Xenopus tropicalis: one gene and its partners. The protein of the gene in region 1 purifies or fractionates together with the protein of each later gene. This does not show direct contact. Links are inferred from orthologs where the notes say so. Each region holds a gene or a part of one and is shown in the gene's direction. Other genes may lie near its edges. The genes, in order: prkcz, llgl1, pard6g, csnk2b, llgl2, nipsnap2 and c1qbp.

Region 1 (4,075 bases):
CCCTGCTTTATAGTGTGCCACAAAACTCACCTGAGCTTATGTACTAAACACTGGACAAATATTTATGTAGGCAGTAACACATAGCAATGCATCAGTGATTAGCTCTATCCAATAAAAATAATGTTTCCTCGGAGTGGTCACTAACCTGTTTCACCAAATTTTAATGTAGATGCGTAGATGACAAATCAATGCCACACAGGTAACTTGAAGAGTTATAAGACATATGGAAGCATATTTACTAAAGTGTAAATTTTCTTTAACTCTACCAAACTCAACCTCAATCCGGCATTTTTTCAAAACATTGCATATTAACTTGAATTTGAAAATGTTATTTGAATTTAGCACATTCAGAATAAATACCAGGCACAAGCACTTTCCTTCTCTATGGATTACTGGTTTTTTCCTGAACAATGTTATGCACTTTATTAATATTAATAATAAGGCTACTGCACTCTACACTATAACACCTTTAGAGCACTTACTTCCTCACAGATACTTTTCCATGTGAATCATACAGGAAAGATATACTAAGAACTGCCATTTACTATATCGAACGCTATAAGTTTTAGCATCATAATAGGCAATTAGGCATGGAAAGAACAGAATACCACAGAGACAAGTTTGGCCCTTTGTTAGGAGTCTAACCTCCAATATTTTGGTTATAGTTGGAACCATTTTATAATGTTGTTAATACTAGTGAGCAGCTGTTAAAACCTTTACACGCACACTTATCACGACGTTTAAGAAACGAAATTGAGTTTCGCAGAGCAACCTGCCAGCCAAGAGCATCTCAGTGACTATTTACAGCGTTTCCGTTCTTTTATTGTATAATTACTAATGGTCATGCATATTTTCACACTAGCGCTCCTTTTTGTACACGCCCAGGTAATGTTTTATTACAACAGGTGAATTCCACAATCAGCAATGCACTGTGACTCAACAATAAACGCGCACATTCCTTCAGAATAGTGACAGCTCCCTACAATCCATCCTGTTACTCAGTTACAGGTTTATAGCCTTGCTTCCCTTTCCCAGTGTATGACTGGCTGCAGGTGTAATCTCCTTTGTCCCTATTGGTTAATCCCTTGAGTCCTGCGGCAGGTAATTAACATTCGTCTTGCATTGGACAGCTAACCTTTGGCCGGCCTGTGTAATTGGACACTGTATTTTCAATACGAGCACGCGATTTGCTGGAGAGCTATCGGAGAGCTCTGCTATTGGCTGCCACTAACACCCAGTTTACTCCGCCATGTTTCGAGAGTCCGAAGTGCTTCGCAAGGAGAGACTCTTGAGTTTTAGCCGGGGAGTTGTTTGCCAGCGGCGCTGACAGGCAACTGTTTGGTAGCGCCAGGAATTTGGCAACTAAAGAGGCGGGTCAGTGTGCGCAGGTGTGAGGGGATGCTTGGAGTTGTTGCACTGTGACAGGGTTAGACGAGCTGGTACTTATTAACCCTCTCGTATCCGCTGTCCAGTGACGCCTCCTGTATCTCCTCCCTCTCGGCTCCGTAATGTTCGTCCTCCGATTCCGTGTTACACCGGGGGGTGGGGATATCGGCTGGAGTTACGGCCGGGAGTAGCTGATCGGGCTCAGTGGAGAAGCCGAGCTAAAAGGAAGTGTGTGTATCAGTATTGCAGGTAAGGGACAGGCTGACTCAGGTATTTTCTTTCTATACGTGTGTGTATCAAGTGTCCGGTGTCCTAGCTTCCTAGCTCCCATCATCATCATCATCATCATTATTTCTTTACTGTTTCTTTAAATAGAGATCACCTGGCTTCCTGTAGGGAGCTAAAATGACAGCACTGGTTGGGAGCTGCAGTTCAGCTTTTCCATCACCTGCTGAAGTTACCTAGTGATTGTTGAATTCCTGTAGAGGCCGGATTAGAGCTGCTGTAAAGCACTTTAGTACCAGTAACACTGCAATGATTGTGCCCCAGAGTGGTGACAACAGTTGTGAAGGGGAAGTTCTCATACTCACAATGAATATTTATTTCCCATATAATACAAGCTTTTTGTGACCAAGTTTCATGCTGAAAGCAATTCACCTCTGGGAAAGCTCATTCTGTGTTTATTATGGAGGCTGAAGAAGTTCACAGTAAAAGAGTAATGCAACAGATATTGTTGTCCTATGTCACTGTGAATGCTGTGTAACTGGTTAGGGTACTGATTAATAACTAGCTACTGATTGCTTAGTTACTCACATAGAGTGCCTCTATTTCCTTCCGCATCACACATTAGACAATTGGCAGGTTGCCTTTTACATTCTGAATGTGGTATAACAGTGTTTTTCAACCTTTTTTGGGCAAAGGCACACTTGTTTCATGAAAAAAATCACAAGGCACACCACCATTAGAAAATGTTAAAAAATTTAACTCTGTGCCCAGCAGCAGTGCCCCCCTAGTACATTGGTGCCCAGCAGCAGTGCCCCCTAGTACATTGGTGCCAAGAGCAGTGCCCCCCTAGTACATTGGTGCCCAGCAGCAGTGCCCCCCTAGTACATTGGTGCCAAGAGCAGTGCCCCCCTAGTACATTGGTACTACGGCACACCAGGAAACATCTCGCGGCACACTAGTGTGCCGCGGAACAGTGGTTGAAAAACGCTGTGGTATAAAAATGTATTTAATATAAACAGTTTAAGGTGATTTGCAAATTATGCAGAGACTGTTTTTATTCTAACAATATGTAAGTTGTTTGTTATTAAATATTAGATTATATTATTAATAATTATTTGGCTCTGGGTGTATGATTAAGGAAGATTTATACATGTATGCTTCACATATGATGTTATCCAAGCTCTTTTACATCTATGGATGGTTTAATGAGCCCTGTATGTTTTTAAAGTAAAGGTGGCCATACATGGACCGATTCTAGCTGCTGATATTGGTCCTTTAGACCGGCCTGTGTGTGGGCACAAATGACGGGTCTGCCTGACCAACATCTTGCATGAAATCGTCCAGATCTCATTCAGGCAGGTTTGATTTTTCAGTTGGATTGGGGACTGCATCAGCTTGTTAATCCGGTCCCCAAACCAACTGCGCATATACCCGCCAATCTAATTCGAATTAGCCCGATATCGCCCACCTGTAGGTAGGGATATCGGGAGAAGATCCGCTCAATTGGCAACCTCGCTAATCCGATCTGAATAATTATTTGCATATGAAAATTAGGCCATGCAGGGGCTAAAGAGAACTGTATTTGGTGAAAAATTTTCAACTTCTATGTTTGTGACAAAAAGTCACGTGATTTTAAGGATACAGATTAGGTTTGGCCAGACACGTGGATTTGGCTGGATCCAATTCCTGTTGAGGAAGTAGTGGGGGACACAGCCAAACGATTGCTCTGCGAGGAACGAAGGAGTTGGCCGGGAACGTACGGAGACACAAGGGAAGAGATGTAGTGAGGAGCAGAGGAATGGAGGGCTTTGAAGGTTAAGAGAAGGAGTTTGTAAGATATTATTTGTTTAATAGGAAGCCACAATAAGGGCTTTAGCAGGGGGAGGGCCTGAACTCTCCTGGATGAGAGGAGGTGAACTCTGGCAGCAGTATTTAATATAGACTGTAGGGGGCAGAGATTGGAGTTAGGGAGGCCGGTTAGTAGCTGTAGCTTTTTTGCTCCTTCCCAGCTTTCAAATGGAGGTAGAGACTCTAGCAGCCAAAATCCCCTTTGCTCTGTGGGGCCCACTCCTGTTTGTCTCTCAGTCTTTCTATTGCCTTATGGTTGCTAGCTTTCAATTTACTTTAGCAACACTACAGAAACATGTTGCTGCTTAAATTCTGAAGTGCTGCTAAACAAAAGCTAAATTAAAAAAAAAAGAAAAGCAATTGCAGATTGTAGTAGCCTACTGCTGTCTAACAGGCAGAACTAGAAGGTATAATTTAAGACCAATTAAAAAGTTGCTAAGAATAGGCTAATCTATAACCTACTAATTAAAAAATGATCTACTACTTTGAGTCTTATATACTAACATAGGAGCTAATTTGCCAAGAGCAGTCAATCAGGAATTAGATCTGATAAGTCTATTACAAGTTAAGCTAGTCGTTCATGTTTATACACAAGTTTTCAGCCCATGTATGGGGC
Region 2 (3,500 bases), on another chromosome or scaffold:
ATCACTCTGTGTGATTTGCCTGGAAGTGGGGCTGAAATGTCGTCTTTCTCTAGGTGCACTCTGCACCCCAATGACTCGCTCGCTATGGAGGGTCCCTTATCCAGGGTGAAGTCCCTGAAGAAGTCCCTACGGCAGTCGTTCCGCAGGATACGGAAGAGCAGGGTCTCTGGGAAGAAAAGGCCAAACACAGGCAGCCCCCCCAGCAGGGTAAGGAGCAGTTAATGAAAAATGTGCATATTGGTGAAATTTGGGCTAATCGGCTTATAAAACTGCTACTGTTTCTTTGTTGCTATTAGCTACAGGAGGCCAACGCTCAGCTGGCGGAACAAGCTGGGCCACATGACCTTGACATTGCCCCCGTGCAGAGAAGGATTGAGCCCCGCTCGGCCGATGATTCCCTGTCGGGTGTCGTGCGTTGCTTGTATTTTGCAGACACTTTCCTACGGGACGGTAAGGAATTAAGGCTCATCGTGCACCGTACAAATTCTCCCCCATAGTTGCCTGTCAGTGGATTTAGGCAATGGTTCATATATTGGGGATGGGGTCTGGAACATGAACCCTGGTACTAGTATCGATCCTCTTCTACTCCATCAAGTCACCCCACGAGCCAATCAGATTGTGGTGTGGAAGTGTTGGGTGCTCCTGTCTTTCACTGTCAGACTAAACACCCATTTTTGTTATTTAGCGATCCATCACGGCCCCACCATGTGGGCAGGCACCAATTCCGGCTCTGTATTTGCGTACGCTTTAGAGGTGCCTTCGAGGGAGAAGTTATCGGACCGCTCGGCAGAGGCTGTGTTGGGCAAGGAGATCCAGCTCATGCATCGGGCCCCGGTAGTGTCCATCGCAGTGCTGGACGGGCGGGGAAACCCCCTGCCTGAGCCCTTTGAGGTTTCCCAGGATTTGGCCAAAGCCCCGGACATGCAAGGGACCCACTCGGTGCTCATCTCTTCCGAGGAACAGTTTAAGGTCAGTTTTGGATGAAGCTGCATTTGCCCTGCTGGCACCACATGGGCTTCATGGTGCGCTGTGACCGGCAGAACTGCACTGCTCTAGTGGCCTGTGGGCTGATTGGCCAGATTGCTTAAGGGTGAAGACACACTGAGCAGCTACTTTTTCACGGCTACTACACTCTAGAAAATCCCCTGCCATAGACAATAGAATAGCTCTGTGTGCCTTAACCCTAAAGGAACAGTAACCCCCAAAAAATAAAAGTAATTAGAATATAATGTACCATTGGCCTGCACTGGTAAAACTGCTGTGTTTGCGTCAGATTACTACCTGCTGTCCAGAACCAGAATCACCTCAGATGGGAGTAGGGAGAGTTGCATCTACGTTTGGGGTGTCTAATTCGGACAGCTGGGGGTTTGTGTCTCCTTTAAAAAATAAAGTAACCCAAATTTGTACCTTGTACAACCCTCCTTTACTCCAACCAAACAAAGGAAACCTGACCTGAAAAGACCAAGCTGGATAACTGGGTTGGTGCAAATGGGGCAGACTGGCTGCTTGGAGCATTCTGCTTCATTATTGGCAGTGCTTTGCCTCACTGCAGCCTTGCCTTACATTCTGAGCAGCTGCTGCTTTGTTATAGGAAGGAAGTGGCGCGGGCTGTGATTCAGCGGAAATGAGCTTCCCACAGCAGTACACACACACACACACACACACACACACACACACACACACACACACACACACACACACACGGGTATAATATTGTACTGGCAACTTAGTTACTCTGGTACACAGGCGGGTATAGTATTATGGTATATATGGTTTATGTATGTGAGGGGATAGATAGGTCAGTGTGGGTCTGTATGGGAGTGGATAGATAGGTCAGTGTGGGTCTGTATGGGAGTGGATAGATAGGTCAGTGTGGGTCTGTATGGGAGTGGATAGATAGGTCAGTGTGGGTCTGTATGCGAGTGGATAGATAGGTCAGTGTGGGTCTGTATGTGAGTGGATAGATAGGTCAGTGTGGGTCTGTATGTGAGTGGATAGATAGGTCAGTGTGGGTCTGTATGTGAGTGGATAGATAGGTCAGTGTGGGTTTGTATGTGAGTGGATGGATAGGTCAGTGTGGGTCTGTATGTGAGTGGATGGATAGGTCAGTGTGGGTTTGTATGTGAGTGGATAGATAGGTCAGTGTGGGTTTGTATGTGCTAACTATGTAGTGACTTGGTTACTTGGGTGCTGGTGCACAGGTGGGTGTAATGTACCTGTAACTTGCAATGCACAACATTATGGCATCGGGAAAGTAACTAAGAGGAAAACCCTGGTTTATATTTTTTTTACCTTCTGCGCTCGCCAGGTATTCACGTTGCCCAAGGTCAGTGCCAAGACAAAGTTTAAGCTGACTGCCCACGAGGGCTGCCGCGTGAGGAAAGTCGCCCTCGCCACCTTCACCAGTGCCACTTCCGACGACTACTCCGAGAACTGTTTGGCGTGCTTGACCAATCTGGGGGACATCCACGTGTTCACTGTGCCGGGGCTGCGGCCTCAAGTGCGCTACGACTGCATACGGAAGGAGGACATCAGTGGCATCGCCTCCTGCGTATTCACCAAGTACGGGCAAGGTGAGGCCAAGGCAGAGGGGTAACCTGATTGGCAGATGTAGAACAGTCATGGCTGAAGGACATAAGTGGCATATCCCTGTAACCAGACCTAATGGCGGTTCTTTGCTGACCCCCAGGCTTTTACCTGATCTCCCCCTCGGAGTTTGAACGCTTTTCTCTGAGTGCCAAGAACATCACAGAACCCGTGTGTCTGGTGGAGTTTGATCGGCCCCACGATCCATTACACTTCAGGTAAGAGGGCTCCGCAGTTGCCCTTGGTGGCACAGGGGTTGCCATTGCTGCCCAGCACTACACTGGTCTGGTTAAACTACAGGCAAGTTTCCTTCCATGGGCCAGAAGCTTTCTAGTTGCTTCATTGGTCAGGGTTTGCTGGTATTCCGTGGGAGGGTCCGTGGCCAGGATTGGCTGTAGATGCTGATTATAACTTTTCTGTCGCAGCAATAAGATGACTCCATCTCCGAAGGGCAACCAGGCCAATGGGACGCACATACTGAGGGACTCTGAAGCGAGCCAGCAGGCAACAGAAGGTAGTGAGCTGTAACCAATCATATATAACTATACTGTGAGGCCAATGCAAAAGGGGGATATTTAAAGTCTGTTGGTCCTTAAAGATTCTCATGAAACGCCTCACTTCTCTCATGCAGGGAACGGGTGTGAGCGTATGGCAGAATTCTCGCCCTCTCCTCTCGACTCGCCGATGAACAGCATGGATACCACTCTGGACACCACGGGAGACATAACGGTGGAGGACGTGAGGGATATACTGGGGTGAGCCTTGTGGGGGCCGCTCCGAAATGATGGCTGCCATAGTAGTATGAGCATTGCAGTTCCACGGGGTGGGCAGGATCCATTGCAGGGTGTGTTGTCTGTGTCTCAGGCTTACAGAGAAGGAAGAGTTTGTTTTAAGGCGGTGCTTATCAGTGCAAT
Region 3 (3,500 bases), on another chromosome or scaffold:
GATTTTACCCACCTTGTTCTTCGTGAAACAGAAAGTACTGCTTTTATTCTAGCTCCCTTTTTAGGAAGCTTTGATGCTGTATGGAAAGGGCATTTAAAGAGAAAAAAAATCTTTGCTAAGTTTAAGGTCAGTGGAAATCTGTCATGTCCTAAAAAAGTCACTGGCTGGTGATAACCAGTGTGTGTTGTCTATAGCCCAAGTTTGAAGTGTTTCTCTTCCAGATCAAGACTAGTCTTCACTGCCATAACATTACAAAAAGCATCCAGGCTGCTGTTCAAAATTGTACTTTTTAATAAGTCCATGTTTAATTCTAACATTTACAAAAGAAATGTGTCTAGTTATTTATTCTGTTCTGAAACTTTTTTTTGTTGTTGTTGTTCTTTTGCAGTATGGGGCCGAGTTTAGAAGGTTCTCTCTTAACCGCTACAAACCAGGAACATTTGATGAGTTCTACAACCTTATTCTTCACATTCATCACATCTCCAGCATGGACGTCATGCTTGGGTATGCGGATGTTCATGGAGACCTTCTCCCTATTAACAACAATGAAAATTTCTTCAAAGCTGTTTCTAGTGCAAACCCACTCCTCCGAGTATTTATTCAAAAGCAAGGTAATGTACGGATTCCATATAATTTTAGTATAGTGGATAAAAAATATATATTTAACTTTGAATATTATTAGGATACTACCGACATGGTAGATTCTCAGCCTGCAAACAAACACAGGCGGAGAATCTGCCCCTACGCTCTGAAATGCTTCTCGATGTGCCTGCACCTATTGTGTTGGCCCGGGGCAGGCACACAGAGTGGATTTTAGCGGTAAGCAACATTCTGCTGGAAACTTTGAGGGTATTGTTGTAGTGGCCTTTTAGGTCAGCTGTTCTGCTGAATGAATATTCTACTTGTGAGACCTGACTCATAGCTGGGCTGGTTCATTGCTCAGGTACCTTGAGGTGTCGCGGAGACACCCATGTATAATAATCATGCATAAAGTAACCGCGCACCAGATAATTTACTGATTTTATATTCTCCAATCACAATTAAGTCCTTGCTTCTACCAGTACTTTTTTAAATATTGTCAATTACATTCGAGATTTTCTGCAGATAGAAGCAATATGTTCATATAGCAGATGTTATTTAAGTGTCTGTAAAACGGGAAATTATCAATAAGGTGATAATTATAAATATAAGTAAGTCTATAAGTCTATATTTTGAGCAGTGCCCAAGATCAGACCAAGCTGAGTCCTAAGATGGATAAAACTGGGCAGATAATAGTCAGTTGGTCAAACTGGCAAATGTGCGAATAATCCAAAATTGGATCAGAATCTGTATGCAAATATATTTCAAAGTGGACATATTGGTAAAATCCAATCAGCCAATGAGCTCATCAGCATAAGTATACATTTAGAGATCAAAAGGATTATTTGAGGCAAGATGTACCTATCTTTAGTCATTATGTCCAGTACTTATACTGTGCTCACTCAAAAATTGTACTCTGTGTCATATGGTATGTAATCCACATCCAGTTGTATAATATTTTTAGGTTATTGTTTTTTTTGCTTTTAATGATTAATACCAGTACCAGCTTTATACTGCATGAAAAACGTTTCCCATAAATTTTGCCATTGTCTTTTTTATCTTTAACCCCTTTTGTTGTTTCCTTAAAAAGTCCCCATTTTATAAAGGGATCTATAACTTTTTGGCTTCCAAAAAAGGCTGTAAATTGCAGTAAATGTTGTTGAGAGAGACATTTCTGTTGAGAGCTGATTCTTGGTTGTAAATATAAAGTTTTATAGGTGCTTAATAGTTAAGGCTAAAAAATGGCACACACCCATTCAGCCTTTTGTTTCATATAACAGTTGGAAAACCTTTTGTGTGCAGTTTTATATGCAATAAAAAAGATGTTGCAGTCAGGGTAGATTAATACATTATTGATTGACTTGCCAGTTTACTGTTTGACCGCAAACACCTGATTGGTTGTTGTGGGTTACAGGTTCTGGAAGGAACTGTACCTGTTATCAAACTGACCATAGTTTTGCATCAGTGCATTTTATATTGTGCTGTTTATACTCGAGGCTGATGCAACAGTGTGCAGTGAATATAATAATGTCTTCATAAAAAAGCAGGTTTTTGGTTTTTTTTTATTTGAAAAAAGTACCACCCTCAAGCTAATATTAAAAGTGTTCAACACACAAAGTTTGCAATTTAATAAACAGCAGAATAAACATTATTGCCATTGCAGAATACAAGTATTTATTATTTTGTATTCTGTTATGCCATTTATTATACTGCGCCTTAAGAAAATATGAAGCTTGTGAACTTCAGTTGCGCAGTGTGCCTGAAGTAGAGAACAATGCCAGTCTTTCGTCTATTTCTCCCAAATCTCCTTTCTCCAACTTTTATGGCTAATGGGGTAAGGGGCACTTTCAGACAATTGAAAAGTACCTTAAATTGTTTAGTGCTCTTCAACCTAAAGGTGCTCACCAGACACAGCGTATTCTTGAGAAGCCAAAAAACACTTGCACAAATATGCCCCAAAGCTTGAAAAAACTTCTACTTTTGCCTGCACTGGGAAGCATTCAATATGCTCAGGTGCAGGCACATGTAGCTGTGCCCGAACGTATTCAGTGCTTCCCGGTGCAGGGACAGGTTTTTTCTAAGCGTAGGGGTCATGGAACTAATGGCAAACGTAAAACGTTTGCTGGGAATATGCTCCTGGGCTGCAGAAATCTTCTACTTGTGCCTGTACCCGGAAGCATTGAATGCACTCTAGTGCAGACACAAGCACCATATTTCTGCCTGAAAATGTTTGCATATGCAGTTTAAGGCAGAAATACACTCCATGTGCCTGCACCATAGTGTATTCAGTGTTTCCGGGTGCTGGCGCAGGTAGGAGATATTTACAGTAGCGGGGCGTATTCTTGCTGAGAATATGCAACGTGTGGCATTAGCCTTAGCGCAGATAAAATACCGCTTACACATCTGATGCATCTCATATCTCCATTCACCCTTTGATGCCTGTCAGTTAGTGTGTGCAATCTTTTTATGCAAAAATACAATGATAAAAAGTACATTATCTGTAAAGTGGATTTTTTCTTATATAATACGCAAATAAATCTAAACTAGCCTATCATCGGTAGCTTGCCAAGAGTAAGCAAATGCTTAGCAAATTCTTGTAAACTTGCCAACTCTTTTCTCATCCTCCTGTGCAGAGTAAAGTAGGTTTAGCTGTCCGTATGTTATCACCTTTTATTTACTGCTATATATTCTGTGCCAGAAGAGAAATGACGGGTGGAAGCTAATAGTGATTGTCCCCCTGTGAGACCCTGGCAGCGAGTGGGAGCTATGATGTGTCTGTGACTGGGCATTGTACCATAGTTCCCATATTCATTTGCTTTTTCTGGCTGCACATAATCAACAGACAAAGGTCAACAAGCAGCTTTACCATTATTTCCCCTCTTGCAATGGCTTTTTCTTTTGCTTTCTTATTTCAGATCAAT
Region 4 (4,105 bases), on another chromosome or scaffold:
AATACGATTTTGTCGCACAAATTGTTGTGCAAATTGTCGCAAAGTACAAAAAAGTTGTAAACTTTAGAAAAAATATGTATTTTTCGTATTTGGACCTGTCATAATAAATGTGCCCCATAGTATCAAAAAACTATGCAGCAGTGTATAGGGGCTACTGTGTATGGGGGACACTGTGTGGGGGGGGATACTGTGTATGGGGGGGCTACTCTGTATGGGGGGGGCACCTGTGTATGGGGGGGCTACTGTGTATGGGGGACACTGTGTGGGGGACACTGTGGGAGGGTCTACTCTGTATGGGGGGCATCTGTGTATGGGGGGGCTACTGTGTATGGGGGGCTACTGTGTATGGGGGCACTGTGTATGGGGGGGGCAAAACTGGTACATAGTTATAACTCACTTATAACTGACTGCCTTCTCTCTATATTTGTATTTTATATGTAGGAGTTGCTATATTGTTTTTCTTTAGGTAGTACAGTATGAGGGTATAGCACATTTGCGTCTGATCCCGCCATTTCATATATATATAAAAGGAGTATTTTTTTTAAAAATGGGGAGTGGCAATTGGGGCGTGGCCACACAAAGTGGGCGTGGTCAAAAAATCTTTTTGTCCCTCTTTTCATTTTTTTTTAATGTTGGGAGGTATGGACAGGGCGTCTCTTATGACATATAAGGGGTTTCTGCCCAGTCAATATCTGTATGACACAGGGTCAGGGAATGATTTGGCACCAGGGTTGCCATCTGCCTGCTATTTTACCAGCCTGGCCGGTTCCCTGATGCTGATGTTAATAGGAAAAAAGGTTAAAAAAAAACAGGGAAGCTTGTATTTTTCTCCAAAAAGGTGGCAACCCTATTTGTCAGGTTTAAAAATCGCATCCAGCCAAAGTTGCCTGGAGTGTTGATTCAGTCATTTCCTGATGGTAACTGTACAAGCACATAATGATCATCACAAACCAATAAGCTATGATTCAATCATCCAGACGTGGCTCACTGTGCCCTATGAGTTTGCTTAAACATCCAGCAATGCCATGTACACTAGCTTTAAGCAGGTACTACTGCAAACTTCACTGCCACTTTGTGAAAATCCAGGATGGTTCTTTTAATGACTACACTACTCCATAACGTAACTAAAAAAGCCTCGCATGCGCCTACATCTACAAAAATATACAAAATTACATTAGTCACGTATTAGTTATCCACGTCTCCTCTCACAAACGAATCGCATCCGGTGTAGAGTTTTATCTATATGACTACATTTCCCGCGATTCAATCAGAAAGAATTACTTCCGGTCTTTTTGCTTCTGGTTTCTAATGCGCTTGCGCACTAAGGGGACCGGGCCTAGTGCGCTGCGGTGAAATTTTGCCGGTTCAAAGCCTCCAAATATACGGCAAGCAGCGGTCCCTTGGAGGTGAGTGTTTGGGGTAAAGCCCGCCTTGTGTATTCCGGTTCTTTTCTCCTAATCTCCCATTGTATCTTGGCTGTGTCCTATGTTTTAACGCGTTTGTTTGGACCGGAATTGTCGAGCTATAGACCCGGGCCTTACATCACCCCGCCTGGCTTCCCCCTAACCCTTTCGGGCCTATCTATACGTGAGGCAGAGCGGAACACAACTTCCGTTGTTTCGTTCCAGATAGACTATGAGACTGCTGTGTATTTTCTTGTACTTTGCTATAAGCAACATTGCGGATTTCCCCGCATCATTTGATGTTGTTGGGGGCGCCTTATTCCTCTTGTCGCAGTAGTTGTTGAAGCCGCAGTGTGCGCCCATTCTGAAGGCTTATGGCTTCGGGTTCCTGGGCGAGGGCGCAGGCGGCTGCTCCGGGGAGCCCATATTGCTGCAGTCTATTCCCAGCTTAGTACAGGGGATCCGGCGCCAGACGTGCCCAGCACAGCCAAAATGTGGCAGTAATGGTGGTAAAAAGGGAGATCTGAGATGTTTTCCTCTGCTGATCTTTCCTAGAAATGCTAGTGTTCGTGTTTTGGGGTGGGGGTATTCGTGCTTTGTTGGGGGAATGTTATAACCTGGCCATCTCAGTAACTTAGTCTCCTGCTGCACTGTGGGCTTATTTTGATTGCTGACTCTTTATTTAAAAAATTCTGTGCTTTGTTTGTTCCCTATTCCCTCCAGTAGACCTTACAGTGCCCACATCTTGTCTCCCTAATTATATGGAACCATAGCTATTGTCCCTTGTCTGTCTGTACCCCACTTGTACCTTTCATATTACATCTTATTTCTGTCATCTGATTTTACAGCACCCCATTTGTTCCCTTTTTTATATTTTATTTTGCCTCGACCTTAGCGTAATATCCATAGCTTAATTCACGCGCTCCAGTTTTTTTTTTTGCTGCCTCTCATTAACATTGCTGTGTTAGTTTTGTTTAATTTTCTTTAATTCGTTTATACATATTTTGACCCAATACTATGTTTTTTATTGAGTTACTCTCATTTTCCTTGTATAAAAGCTTTTCTTTTTGTTCCTCAGGCTAGAAAATGAGCAGCTCAGAGGAGGTGTCCTGGATTAGCTGGTTTTGTGGTTTAAGAGGCAATGAATTTTTCTGTGAGGTGAGTCTTACTTAAAGATCTTTTCTTTGAGAGAAATAATAACTGTTAATCACAAAATCACTGACAGAAACCTACCAGGTTAGTGAAATAAATAGCTGTAAAAAACACTCCACTTCATCATATAGAAAAAAAATACTACCTCCTACTGCTGTTTTATTCTTGCTGATGTTCTTTCAGCCTCTCTTATCTCACACCCCTCCTGAAAAGAAAATTACTCCTCTTTCTGAAAAATGTATCTCGGCACTGCTTTGTATAGTCAAAAATCATAATGCTTGTGTGTGTTGTTTAGACCAAATTAAATACATTTGCAATATAAACCCATTAAAAATTAACTATCATTTTTTAAATAGAAGCCTTTGTATTTTGCATCTTTTGCTATTCCCCTAAAATGAGCTACAGTTAGCTTTGCCGTCTGATTTATATAGAACAACATTTGTTATAGTGCTTTCCTATCTTAGGGCTATATATAAACACTCGGTTAAGATTTTGACTTTATTTCCCCTTTTAATAGTGCTTTTTATTTAATCAGCTGTAAGGATTTATTCCTACCCGCTTGCCTTTCAGCTCAGTCAAGATTTGACTGTTCCACCTTTTCATTTCCAGCAGAATTACCTCTCCATTTGCAGTTACTGCAGGTAGAACACTTACATTGTATAATTGTACAAAAATAATTAAGAAGCCATTTTTGTGCAATTACATTGTGTTTTATCTTTGGCATTTAATATTGTCTGCAATGGAAAGGAATTTTTCACCATTTTGTCGCCACAACAAAATGCAGGTGACAAAATGCCAGTCGTTGCATTAAAGGACATGTAAACCCTTTATTTTCCTACCATAAAGGTTGGACACATCTTCCTCACACCAACTGAACCATATGTACTGCATATATCGCCTTTGTTCACATATTTTTCTAAAACAAATAGGAGCTTTTACCCATCAGTTTCCCTCTGACACATAAGCATATTTCTCTAGCAGTGTGCACAGCTAGAGCAGTGTTTTTATGAAAACCAGTGATGACCTCTCTTCATTGGCTGCTAGACTGGAGGGTGTGTTTGGTAATTTGAATTAAGAGCTAAGCATGCCCAGTAGCCAACAGCCAAAGTCATTTCCGAAGGAAGAGTAGGTTAGAGGAGGAGAAGGAATCCCAAGTTATCAAGGGGCTGCTGCAGCCTTACAATAGCCTTACAATACCTTTGAACAACCAGAATCACAGGTATTTACATGTCCTTTGAGGGGCAGCCTATTAAATATTACATCTGGTTTTCTAAAGATGTTGCTTTGCTGACATACTTTCTTTTTTAGGTGGATGAAGACTATATCCAGGATAAGTTTAACTTGACAGGACTCAATGAGCAGGTCCCTCACTATAGACAGGCACTGGACATGATACTGGACCTTGAACCTGGTGAGAATATCTCCCATTGTGACTTCAGCTAACTTAATATGCATGCCATCATAGGCATAGTAAACATTATCTTTTTATTAGAACTGGTTATATCCAGCTGTACTTTACAGTTGCCTTCACCAGTCAGAAATGGCGAGCC
Region 5 (3,007 bases), on another chromosome or scaffold:
TGGGTTCTCTCTTCTATATCTCTTTTCCCTTTTGCAGGTTGGCTCCTTTGACCCTTACAGTGATGACCCCAGGCTGGGCATACAGAAGATTTACATGTGCAAATACAGTGGTTACCTCTCTGTGGCTGGCACGGCTGGACAGGTCAGTGAGGAGGAGCTTACGGTGCCACCAGCTTTGTGCAATTAAGTTCCTACTGCCAGGGGTTCCCTTATGACAATGTATCTCACCCCTGATCAGGTTCTGGTTATGGAGCTGAATGATGAAGCTGCAGAGCATGTGGTGGACGAGACCTTAGTAGACCTCCTTCAGGAACAAGAAGGCTACCGCTGGAAGGGCCACGAACGGCTCCATGCTCGGGAGGACCCTGTCCGCTTTCCACCGGGGTTCCAGCCATTTGCCCTGGTGCAGTGCCAGCCCCCTGCTGCTGTTACTTCCCTGGCCCTGCACTCTGAGTGGCGGCTGTTGGCCTTTGGTACCAGCCATGGCTTCGGCTTGTACGACTTTCAGCAGAAGCGCCAAGTAATGGCCAAGTAAGTGATAAAAAAATTAAAAAAAAAAGAGCACAGAGCTGGGCTAGTAGGTCAAGATTAGCTCAACTGTGTCTTTGCTCACAGGTGCACGTTACATGCCAGTGACCAAATGGCGTTGGAGGGTCCCCTGTCACGGGTTAAATCTCTGAAGAAATCTTTGCGTCAGTCATTCCGCCGCATTAGGAGGAGTCAAGTCAACAAGAGAAGACCAGGGCCTGATAGGGTGAGCTGGCACTTTTGTGAGGGCGGGTAACTAAGCTCTGTTTTGCTCCCCACCAGCTCCAGGGTTGCCCCACATTTCTGAATCACGGAGATTCAGCCTTGTGGGATGGGTACCCCAAAACATAGGGCAATAAAGGGTTCCAATCACCTTCTGCCTTTTTAAAGAGCCATAGGATTATGTTCTGCTCTATACAGTATGTTTGAGTGTAAGAGTTCTATGTTCCTGACCCAGGCTAGACTGAGGATATGGGTTGCCTATGACTATACCATTGCGTTAATAACCAGGGAATCCCAGGCAACTCGTGGTTTGGGAAGATACAAGGGACTCTTTGCTTTATGCCCCATCTCTGTTCCCTGATAGGTGCAAGAGGCCAATGCTCGATTTGAGCAGGAAGCTCTGCAAGAGATGGAACTGGCCCCCGTGCAGAGGCGGATAGAGGCCCGCTCGGCTGAGGATTCCTTCACCGGATTCGTGCGCACATTGTACTTTGCCGACACCTACCTGAGGGACAGTGAGTTACCCTAGAGGGTGCTGGCTTCGCACCATAGATGGGACATAATCTTGGGACCTGGGTTTTCATTAGTTCTGAACTTCTTTTCAACTGTTCTTACTAATGCCAATCTCTCTTGCCAGGCTCTAGGCACACGCCTTCCCTCTGGGCGGGGACAAATGGCGGCACAGTGTATGCGTTCTCTTTGCGGGTGCCACCCACAGAGCGCCGAATGGAAGAGGCAGTGGCGGCAACGCAGGGTGAGTGAGCAGAAATTCGTTTCCTTGGCCCTCGCTTGTCATGATGGTTGCTGGTCTTGGGGGTTATCCACCCACAAACTGTTTTGCAGAATGAAAGAAAATGTCATTCTAAGCAACTTCCCATTATAAAATGGAAAAACATTTTGGTTTCAAAGTTATTTGTACATGTAATTGCAGTTGCAAAGCAGTATTTGTGCATCCCTTTCTGTTCCCTGGTTCTGACTCCTGAAACAATGTAACAAAAGTTAGTTCTCCTCATCTGTCAGTCAGCTGGCTTCTGCTACATTGCTTCAGGAGTCAGAGCCAGCAGTGCAGAGAATACAGACAGACAGACACTGCCACAGCAATTGCAGTTACAAATAGCTTTGAATTTAGGTTGGAAAGTGAATTTGAATTACCTTTTTTGGGTGTAGATCCCCTTTCAGGGGCAGATTGTCAGTAATGGATCTTTTATTGCAGCTAAGGAAATCCAACTCATGCACCGGGCTCCGGTTGTGGGGATCCTGGTTCTGGACGGTCACAGCGTTCCTCTCCCAGAACCCTTAGAGGCAGCTCACGATCTCTCCAAGAGCCCCGACATGCAAGGCAGCCACCAGCTATTGGTCACTTCCGAGGAGCAGTTTAAGGTGCAGCTTTGGTTCGGGGCCTCGGATAAGGGGTGCCATAGTATCCATTTATGGGGGGGTGAGTGACTAATGGCATCTGTTTGTCTGCAGGTCTTTACTCTGCCCAAAGTGAGCAGCAAACTGAAGCTAAAACTGACGGCCACGGACGGCTGCCGCGTGCGCAAGATGACGGTGTGCACCTACGGTAGCTGCAAGTCGGAGGAGCACAGCGAGAACCACCTGACCATTCTTACCAACCTGGGGGATATTCAGGTGGTGTCACTGCCCCATCTGAAGCCACAAGTCCGGTACGACTGCATCCGCAAGGAAGATGTGAGCGGCATCGCCTCCTGTGTCTTCACCAAACACGGGCAGGGTGAGTACATTGGGTGGCCCCCCGCGCTGGCTAAGCAGTGGGTATGGAAACTATATGTGGGGGATTCTGTGGCTACCTGATCTACTTGCCCTTTCCTAACCCACTATTTCATCACTATTTTCAAAGGGTTTTATCTAATCTCCCCCTCTGAGTTGGAACGGTTTTCGCTATCCACATGCTGGTTGGTGGCTCCCCGTGCCAGAGTGGATCCTCCGGAGCCCCCTCGTAACTCGCGGCTACGGCGGGGGGGCAGCACTGACCAACCAACTGACAGGTCCAGGTGGGTGTCAAGTGGGGTGGTCCCCCCAACGAATCAACAGCAGGCGTGAACATTATCCTGCCTGTGGTCCCACCAGCTATTGGGCCGTGTATTGATTGTGTATGCGCTGGGACACGGACTGAACCATTTCCCAATTAACCAGAGTTTTCCTTTCTTTGTGTGCAGGTCTTCTGGGACGGACCACACAGGAGGTAGGGGCCAGTCTGGCATTCTCTAAAGCGTATTGCTTAAAGGACAAATCA
Region 6 (3,500 bases), on another chromosome or scaffold:
TACAGCTTGAAAGTGCCCTAAATACAGGGTCGAACTGGGCCGTTGGGACACCGGGAAAAAACCTGGTGGGCCCCGATGGCCCAGACCCGACCCGACCCTTGCTGGCACTTCCCCTGCCCGACTGTTCCTCCCCTGACACGTTAAATGTATGCACGCTCAGGGTGGACGTGGGGTGGGGGCCCCTGGGGGGGTTAAAATGAGGTCTGTTACAAGTTAAAAAAATAAAAAGGAAAGACCTGCTTAGTTGCTGTTGGCAAATCCAGTTGTGCAAAATAGCATCTAAGCTAGTAAACAAGACTTTTAATATTTCCCCAGATTTGTGTTATAGGTCACTTTAAACTACAGCTTGAAAGTGCCCTAAATACAGGGTCGAACTGGGCTGCTGGGACACCTGGAAAAAACCTGGTGGGCCCCGGTGGCCCAGACCCGACCCTTGCTGGCACTTCCCCTGCCCGACTGTTCCTCCCCTGACACGTTAAATGTATGCACGCTCAGGGTGGACGTGGGGTGGGGACCCCTGGGGGGGGTTAAGGGACACGGCCGGCGGGGGCACCTGGAGGGCCCCTGGGGCAGGGGCCCCGGTGGGCCCTGCACCCTCCAGTCCGACCCTGCCCAAATAGCATAATTAAACCACAGAAATATAAAGTTTAATAGTAAAGAAAATTAGGGTCAAGGTAATGCCACCCATAACTTTTTCAGGTGCTTTCACTGCAGCCCATAAATTTGGTGTTAAATTGAGAAAACAATGCAACTGCATGACAAGCATTTGTTCAGGATGAACAAATATGGGGGTAGAAGTACAGCAATTTTACTATCATGTTCAGATGTTAAAAAGATAACAGGTTCTCCATCACTATATACTACAGCAGTGACAATATTGTGCTACATAGACATCCTTACTGGGGAATGAAGAAACATTTAGCTTGGGCAGTATGCCAAGGCCTTGCGAGTAGAATAGTCGTGTAGGCCTATAGCCTAATAGTGGGTTTATAGAGATTACTTCTATAATGATTAGAAGTTATAAGCCAGCCTTGCCTGCTGCCAGAAGGTTTTGCAATAGGAAAAAACATCCCATTGTATTTAAGGTAAAAACTGTTATGTGCAATTGTGAAGCAGTAAGAAGGTAATGCTAAGAACAAGCAAAAAAGAAGAAATGAGCGTGCTTCTCATATAAATAGAAGTCAAACTGACCTAGTCTTACTTTTGGTTATGAGAAATCATAAGATACGATGTCTGATAGCTAAAAGCACAAAAGAAAAAGAAAAACAGTGATCGGGTAGTATAGTGGCAACCATGGAATTCAAAATGCCTGGTAGTCCATACAATTTTTAAGAGAACATTGCCTCAGACAGCATTTTACCAGGGGTGGCAAATAGCCACATTTCTGTGTTTTTCTGGGTTATTGTGTCTCAGTTATATAACAATGTATTATCTCTAAAGTGCTCCATCCTGTACTCCAGCAATAATCCATGAAAACAAGACTTATGGTGCAACAAACTCTATACAAGTTGTAAATCATGTGGAGTGAAAATATATTGAAAAACATTACACTGTGCTCAAGATTGTTTACTGCAGGCAAAGGGAGCTTATATAATAATTTAGTCCTTTTATGGCTTTCTTTTACTAAGGTTGCAGACATCACTGAAGAGAATGGTAGATTCTTCTATGCTGTTTTTCTGTCGCTCTGGTTAGAATAGTCTCTGGCACACAGTTTGAAGGACATTCTGCATGTGCCGGTCACCTGTTACTACAGACACATTCCCTAGAGCTATTTAAAGATGCAGTTAAATTCGCCTTCAGTCCATTTTTCATAAGGGAAATGTCACCCCATAAAGGGTAATAAATTACAAATTACAGGAATCTCCCTCAGACTCTATTTTAAACAAATAATTACATTTTTTTTTTAAATTCCCTTTTCTCTGTAATAATACAACAGTACCTTGTACTTTATCCCTACTAAGCAAGAATTGAGAATGTTGAAGATTGTAAAGCATTTATGTTTATATAGTTATAGTGTGGGGAGATAGACTTAGGCCAGGTGTATTATATTGTATATAGTAATATAAACTCAACGTGCTGCAAGAGCTGTATAACTTGGTCCTTTTGCCATGTCCATTTTAAATCTTGCTTCCCAGCTCTTACTGATATATTGTTATTACAGGGGTCTTGCATCATCGAGTCAGAAAGCCAGAGAAGACAGCTGGTTGCGATCACTCTTTGTTCGTAAAGTCGATCCACGGAAGGATGCTCACTCAAACCTTCTGGCCAAAAAGGAGATCAGTAACCTGTACAAAATTCAGTGTAATTATTACCACTTCTCAGTTACTAGAGCATACATGAAGAGAAGAAAATACTTTCATACAGAAAACCTCTAAGCTGGTATTCCTAAATGTTTTTTGTGATCTACTAAACAGAGGGCAGTTCTAGTGTAGCCTTTCAGACTTTCAGTGGGATGTTTAACCATTTTGGTTAACATCTTTTTTCCTGCAATTACATAGTTATTTTATGATTAATAGAACACCCTCTTCTCATGCAGTGTATTTGGAGTATGGATAATCCCATAAGAGGCAGATATATATATTGATCTATATATTTTGATCTATATAGTTCTGGTACAGGTGCAGTGCACTTCCCTTTCAGTTGAAGGAAACTTGCTCTCAGAAAGTCCCCAAACACTACCCATGGAACCAGAGCTATAAGACTGGACTGAAGTGTGAGATGTTGGTAGAAATGTTAGTGAAGGATTTGGTGATTATTGTTTTATGTATTATGGCTTATATATACTGCAGACTCCAGTCTACCTTCAGTAGCAGTATTCTTCACTGGCATCCAGGCCACACTACAGTTAGGATGAAGGACCAAAGTCTTTAATGTGAACAGACCTTTACAAATTAGGAAAATAAGATATTTACATAGCATCTTGGTTTTATGCGGCAAATTATTTACAATCTTTATATTGCCTGAAAGAAGCTTTTATATTGTATATTGATCAAGCCACTTTCTAGTTAATATTTTCATGTATGGCATGAATGGTCTTTCCTTCTTCTTGTTAATTATTAGCAAAACTTCACTATCCTCATATAATTTTGTGTGCTTTATGCATTGATTTATGACAAATATTTGTTTTAAATTATGATATGACTCACTAATGTAACAGCACTACTGCCATATTTTCCATAATGGTACACATGGAGTTTGCACATATTTATCACCTCATTAATGAAAAACCCAGAGAACAAAAGGCCAGGAAGTCTGAAGTAGTTAGCATCAGTAAGGGTTATGTTAGCAACATTGATATTAAAGGAAGACCCACAGAGAATGACTGCAAGGAATCAGAGTGCAGTCAAGCACCTTTTTGTTTGATGTGTGGCCAGCAGTAGACATCAGGAAACAGCAAATCCTAAATAGCAAGTAAGCGTCATGTTCAACATTATGTGATGTATGTGTGATTTAATCTTTCAATATGGCTATGGCCTCACTTCTGGGTTGATTTTGACCTT
Region 7 (4,191 bases), on another chromosome or scaffold:
TCAGAAACTTGTGACATAAGTGCCTCAAAACTAAACTTTAGATGGCCATACACTATAACAGGAATCCCCAAACTTTTTTTTATCCAGGAGCCACATTCAAATGCAAAGTGTTGGTGAGCCACACAAGCATGAAAAAAGTTCTTTGGGGATGCCAAATAAGGACTGCTATTGGCTATTTGGTAGCCCCATGTGGACTGAAAGCCTGCAGGAGCCTTTGGTTGGAGTAAAACTTTAAGGCCACTGGGAGCAACATCAAAGGGGTCGGTGAGCAACATGTTGCTTACGAGCCACAGGTTGCAGATCACTGCACTAAGGTGGGCAATATTGGGCTAATTCTATCATTATATATCATTAAATTACAATGAAAAGACTAGAAGTCGTCAGAGCAAGGGCCACAGTGACAAGCCAATGTGGTCTTCAATCCCACAGTAAATTTAAACCAGCCCGATTTCACTGGCACATAAGGCCCCCCCTAAACCAGAGGGCCCACTTTTATGTTATCTTATCAATTTTTAAAAAAAAAAAAGTAATTTTAGTTTGAAAAATGACATTATTATTATTAACATTTATTTATAAAGCGCCAACATATTCCGCAGCGCTGTACAATAAGTGGGTTTTATACAGTGGAGATACAAAGTAAAATATGAAGCAATCAATAACTGATACAACAGGTGAAGAGGGCCCTGCCCAAAAGAGCTTACAATCTACAAATACATGGTGCTGTTCCAATATTTTGCTAAAGTGTCCGTAAAGTGTAGTAAGAGGAATGTACACTGGCTTTACAACCAGGAGCCATATTAGGATATATACCTCAAAGGCAGCTGCTTACAGACGGGAGCTGTTTGTTTGTTCAGGTAGAAGGAGAGCTTTGAACAAACAACCATGTTTAGAAGAAAAGAGCGGCTTATTTGAGTAAAAATAACCCAAATTTCAAAGTCATACTTTATAACTGCAAAAAATAAGATTTTTATTTTTTTTTAAACTGAAACAATATGCAGAATGCCATTTCAGCTCGAGTCCTATTTATTGTATTTATTTTCAGCCAAGGTGTTTTCAGGTGTACACAGTGGGGCAGAATATGCACGCCAACATCAGCAGTGATGTTGCCCCTAGCAACCAATCAGAGCTTTGCTTTTGTTCTCTAACTACTACTTTAGCTACTGATTGGTTGCTACAGGGTAACATCTCCGGTAATGTTGGCTTACACAAAACTATAATAAATATGACCCTTCAGAAGTACAAGCATTGTGTTTCTCCAAGCTGCCAGTCTATGTGACCAGTAAACCACTGGATTCTAATTTCTCATTTCAAGCGTTACAATACAACGTCTATATACAACAAAGGTTTCTCTTCCGAACGTATTCCTTACAGACAGAAGCAATCAACAGCGACCTCTGCGTGTAGCCAAGGAGACCTTGACGACACTTCCTGTGCTCCGCCTCCTTTTCGGGAGGTGAAAGGTCAGGGGTGTCACGGTGTCCTCTTGTCACACACACACGTGGGTATCTGCAGGACCATGTTCTCCACACTGTCCCGAGCTCTCTTATCCGCCACACGGGTAGCGGCCGTACGGCCCCAACAGCTGCTGAGCTCTTTGTGCACCGGACGATCCTTCTCACGCTCATTATGTTTGCTCGGGGGGAATCCGGGGCTCAGGCAGACTTTCCTGCATCCTCAACGTGGCTTCCCGGCCGTGTCCTGTGGCTGTGGGGGACTGCACACTGAGGGTAAGTGCTCTCCTGGCCCTTACATTAGTGCGCTATGTAAGGCAGGGTTTTGGTACCATTCCACAACTAAACTGTGAGCTCTTCGGGACATGGATGTACATTTTTTGTCTGTTCTTCGCGTCTGCCTCCCAGACATTTGTATGCCTACATCCACATACTGAAAATGCTTGTTTTTCTTAATGCTTGTTTCGATATCAGATTATAATATAAATGTTTTTTAAATCATTTTATTTCATGAATATGAGATTCATTATATATGAAAAATAACCTTTCTGTAAATTGTTTTGAATCAAGTAATTCTTCACTAGAGCTTTCTCAAGTATGCAGGCTTTGTGTCATATTTTGGACATATTTTTTACATTGTCGGGTCAGTGTTTCCTTTGCCTAGATGGTATTTTACATTAAATTATCCTAAAATACTATGGGACCAGATAAAGCAGGAATATGCACATTACAAATATTTTATTGTGTCATTGTTGAGATGTGAAATGATTTATTAGTGTAATTCCTGAATGATGTTGCATGTGTGACTTTCAGAGTTGTAAGTCATCCCCAATGGAACCAAAACTGTTTTATATACTACCTTAGTGCTCATTCCAAACAAGATACTGCAAACAGTATAACATGAATAAAAATGTAAGATATAGACATATAAGTTATCGGCAAGTACAATATATTCACTTTATTACAAAAAAAAATTACATTTGCAGGATACGTTTGCTATGTCCCGTTTTCTCAAAGAAAATAAAGACTTAATTCTTAAAAGTAGTATAGAATGTGTAATAGGTGTGCATGATCAAGTTGTTTCTTTAGAAGTCTGAAAGCTGATGCACAGTTTTGAAAAATAAGCTTCAAATCCCCCCTAAAATGTGTTGATTTATTTTTTATATTTATTGTAGGTGACAAGGCATTTGCTGAATTTCTCAAAGATGAAATCAAAGAAGAGAGAAAGATCCAGAAACATAAGAACCTTCCCAAAATGTCTGGTGGGTGGGAATTAGACATCAATGGCACAGAGGCTAAACTGGTCAGAAAAATATCAGGTGAAAAGTAAGTGTACTAATGATGGTTGCCTATATCCTAGCATATAGTTAAATGATATGATGAATCTGCCACTTGAGATAAAAATTATATTGTCCTCTTAAGTAAGCCTTATTTTTTTAATCCCCTAAAATTACTCTAAACAGCCCCCAGAATAACACACGTTTTAACCATGAAAATTGATTTTGTTTTTGTATTACAAGCAGCTGCATCTCCTTTACTGACTTGCTTGTCTAATGTGAAGCTCTGCCCTGTTTAGCTTTCTAAGCTCTCCTCTCTTCCACTATGAAGACCTTAAAGAGGTGCTTACTGGGCATGCTCACTGCCTCTGCACACAATAAAATCAATCAGGCATGAGGTCATAGTCGGAGAGAGGAGTGCTCCGAAAGCAAAAAGGGGAGGGGGCTTCCCCCTAGACAAGGAGGTCATTAAAAATGCTGTAGTTGAACTGACTGTAATAGGGAAACTAAAATTTGGATGAGAGAAAGGTATGTTGTTCTGGGGGCTGTACAGAGTTTTAAAAAAAAAAACCTACTTATTTTGACTTGTTCTTTTACTGACCCAATTCATCTTCCTGGGTTGATGTAGAGGCATTTTGTTAAGAAACATATTCTTGCTTCAGTGATTAAACATTGGACCTCAGATATAAGTGCAGTAGAATACGATTGTAATGTATTCACATTAAGCACAAAACCAGAATAATCTGCTATACATGCTCATGTATAGTCCACTAATATTTTAAGACAAGACAAGGAATTCAGGGGAAACATTATCATAATACCTGATTTATGATTCTTAATTTTACCTTTGCAATAGGCAGTAACAAATGAGAATGAAAATTAAATTGGAAGGAAAAGGCATAATCACTGAGGGGTGTCAAAATATAAGTGATTATTGGTGCAAGTTGACTATATTCCTGGATGGCCAAGTTGCTCCTATTCCTTCTTGGTTTACATTGCATTGTGGGGATGAGGTGATGTTCTCGTAGGCAAGATGTTAACATTTGTCCTCCAGCCTATCAGAACATTGTCCCTTCCCCAAGTGTGCTGTCACTCATGAAGATGTTTAACTTCAAGCCATGCAAGTTAGTAAGGGATGAGCTGGAGGAGGCAGGTGGGCACATACATTACAAAAGAATAACAGCACTAGGGTTTATATATTCCTGTTAAAACCTGGAATGTGCCTCTATCCCATTAAGACTTATTTTCTGGGAGTCTGAAAATATATTAAGTGTAGTGACAGCTTATAGATTACCAGCTAACCATTTAATGGCCAAATACATCAATATAATCAGCATGGTGGGTAGACTGGTGAAATCCTATGTAAACATATTGAAGTAGCATCAGTTATAATTACTTAAGCTTGGAAAATATATTTTGTCTTATTAGGATTGCAGTTACTTTCAACACAAACAATAGCATTC

Evidence for each region.
Region 2: the proteins of prkcz (region 1) and llgl1 purify together in Homo sapiens (affinity purification with mass spectrometry; 6 studies listed by BioGRID and IntAct, counting the BioPlex papers as one, with this or other methods). This does not show direct contact. The link is inferred for Xenopus tropicalis from reciprocal best matches to the Homo sapiens genes PRKCZ and LLGL1.
Region 3: the proteins of prkcz (region 1) and pard6g purify together in Homo sapiens (affinity purification with mass spectrometry; 6 studies listed by BioGRID and IntAct, counting the BioPlex papers as one, with this or other methods). This does not show direct contact. The link is inferred for Xenopus tropicalis from reciprocal best matches to the Homo sapiens genes PRKCZ and PARD6G.
Region 4: the proteins of prkcz (region 1) and csnk2b purify together in Homo sapiens (affinity purification with western blotting; 3 studies listed by BioGRID and IntAct, with this or other methods). This does not show direct contact. The link is inferred for Xenopus tropicalis from reciprocal best matches to the Homo sapiens genes PRKCZ and CSNK2B.
Region 5: the proteins of prkcz (region 1) and llgl2 purify together in Homo sapiens (affinity purification with mass spectrometry; 7 studies listed by BioGRID and IntAct, counting the BioPlex papers as one, with this or other methods). This does not show direct contact. The link is inferred for Xenopus tropicalis from reciprocal best matches to the Homo sapiens genes PRKCZ and LLGL2.
Region 6: the proteins of prkcz (region 1) and nipsnap2 purify together in Homo sapiens (affinity purification with mass spectrometry; 3 studies listed by BioGRID and IntAct, counting the BioPlex papers as one, with this or other methods). This does not show direct contact. The link is inferred for Xenopus tropicalis from reciprocal best matches to the Homo sapiens genes PRKCZ and NIPSNAP2.
Region 7: the proteins of prkcz (region 1) and c1qbp purify together in Homo sapiens (affinity purification with mass spectrometry; 5 studies listed by BioGRID and IntAct, with this or other methods). This does not show direct contact. The link is inferred for Xenopus tropicalis from reciprocal best matches to the Homo sapiens genes PRKCZ and C1QBP.

The regions. Positions count from the first base shown.
Region 1 is NC_030683.2:91,512,102-91,516,176, reverse strand, and holds the start of prkcz (protein kinase C zeta type), read left to right. Parts: upstream 1-1,275; 5' UTR 1,276-1,635; intron 1,636-4,075. UniProt on the Homo sapiens protein: Calcium- and diacylglycerol-independent serine/threonine-protein kinase that functions in phosphatidylinositol 3-kinase (PI3K) pathway and mitogen-activated protein (MAP) kinase cascade, and is involved in NF-kappa-B activation, mitogenic signaling, cell proliferation, cell polarity, inflammatory response and maintenance of long-term potentiation (LTP).
Region 2 is NC_030685.2:15,997,226-16,000,725, reverse strand, and holds part of llgl1 (lethal(2) giant larvae protein homolog 1), read left to right. Parts: intron 1-53; coding exon 54-207; intron 208-296; coding exon 297-450; intron 451-685; coding exon 686-969; intron 970-2,308; coding exon 2,309-2,573; intron 2,574-2,689; coding exon 2,690-2,804; intron 2,805-3,011; coding exon 3,012-3,100; intron 3,101-3,217; coding exon 3,218-3,341; intron 3,342-3,500. UniProt on the Homo sapiens protein: Cortical cytoskeleton protein found in a complex involved in maintaining cell polarity and epithelial integrity. Involved in the regulation of mitotic spindle orientation, proliferation, differentiation and tissue organization of neuroepithelial cells.
Region 3 is NC_030682.2:96,284,769-96,288,268, reverse strand, and holds part of pard6g (partitioning defective 6 homolog gamma), read left to right. Parts: intron 1-388; coding exon 389-611; intron 612-3,500. UniProt on the Homo sapiens protein: Adapter protein involved in asymmetrical cell division and cell polarization processes. May play a role in the formation of epithelial tight junctions. The PARD6-PARD3 complex links GTP-bound Rho small GTPases to atypical protein kinase C proteins.
Region 4 is NC_030684.2:74,724,673-74,728,777, forward strand, and holds the start of csnk2b (casein kinase II subunit beta), read left to right. Parts: upstream 1-1,305; 5' UTR 1,306-1,406; intron 1,407-2,481; 5' UTR 2,482-2,489; coding exon 2,490-2,561; intron 2,562-3,863; coding exon 3,864-3,966; intron 3,967-4,105. UniProt on the Homo sapiens protein: Regulatory subunit of casein kinase II/CK2.
Region 5 is NC_030686.2:44,579,306-44,582,312, forward strand, and holds part of llgl2 (LLGL scribble cell polarity complex component 2), read left to right. Parts: intron 1-37; coding exon 38-142; intron 143-238; coding exon 239-531; intron 532-615; coding exon 616-754; intron 755-1,114; coding exon 1,115-1,265; intron 1,266-1,387; coding exon 1,388-1,504; intron 1,505-1,963; coding exon 1,964-2,130; intron 2,131-2,220; coding exon 2,221-2,485; intron 2,486-2,611; coding exon 2,612-2,765; intron 2,766-2,930; coding exon 2,931-2,956; intron 2,957-3,007. UniProt on the Homo sapiens protein: Part of a complex with GPSM2/LGN, PRKCI/aPKC and PARD6B/Par-6, which may ensure the correct organization and orientation of bipolar spindles for normal cell division.
Region 6 is NC_030678.2:98,148,833-98,152,332, reverse strand, and holds part of nipsnap2 (protein NipSnap homolog 2), read left to right. Parts: intron 1-2,161; coding exon 2,162-2,301; intron 2,302-3,500. UniProt on the Homo sapiens protein: Protein involved in mitophagy by facilitating recruitment of the autophagy machinery required for clearance of damaged mitochondria.
Region 7 is NC_030678.2:105,098,247-105,102,437, reverse strand, and holds the start of c1qbp (complement component 1 Q subcomponent-binding protein, mitochondrial), read left to right. Parts: upstream 1-1,391; 5' UTR 1,392-1,516; coding exon 1,517-1,727; intron 1,728-2,626; coding exon 2,627-2,777; intron 2,778-4,156; coding exon 4,157-4,191.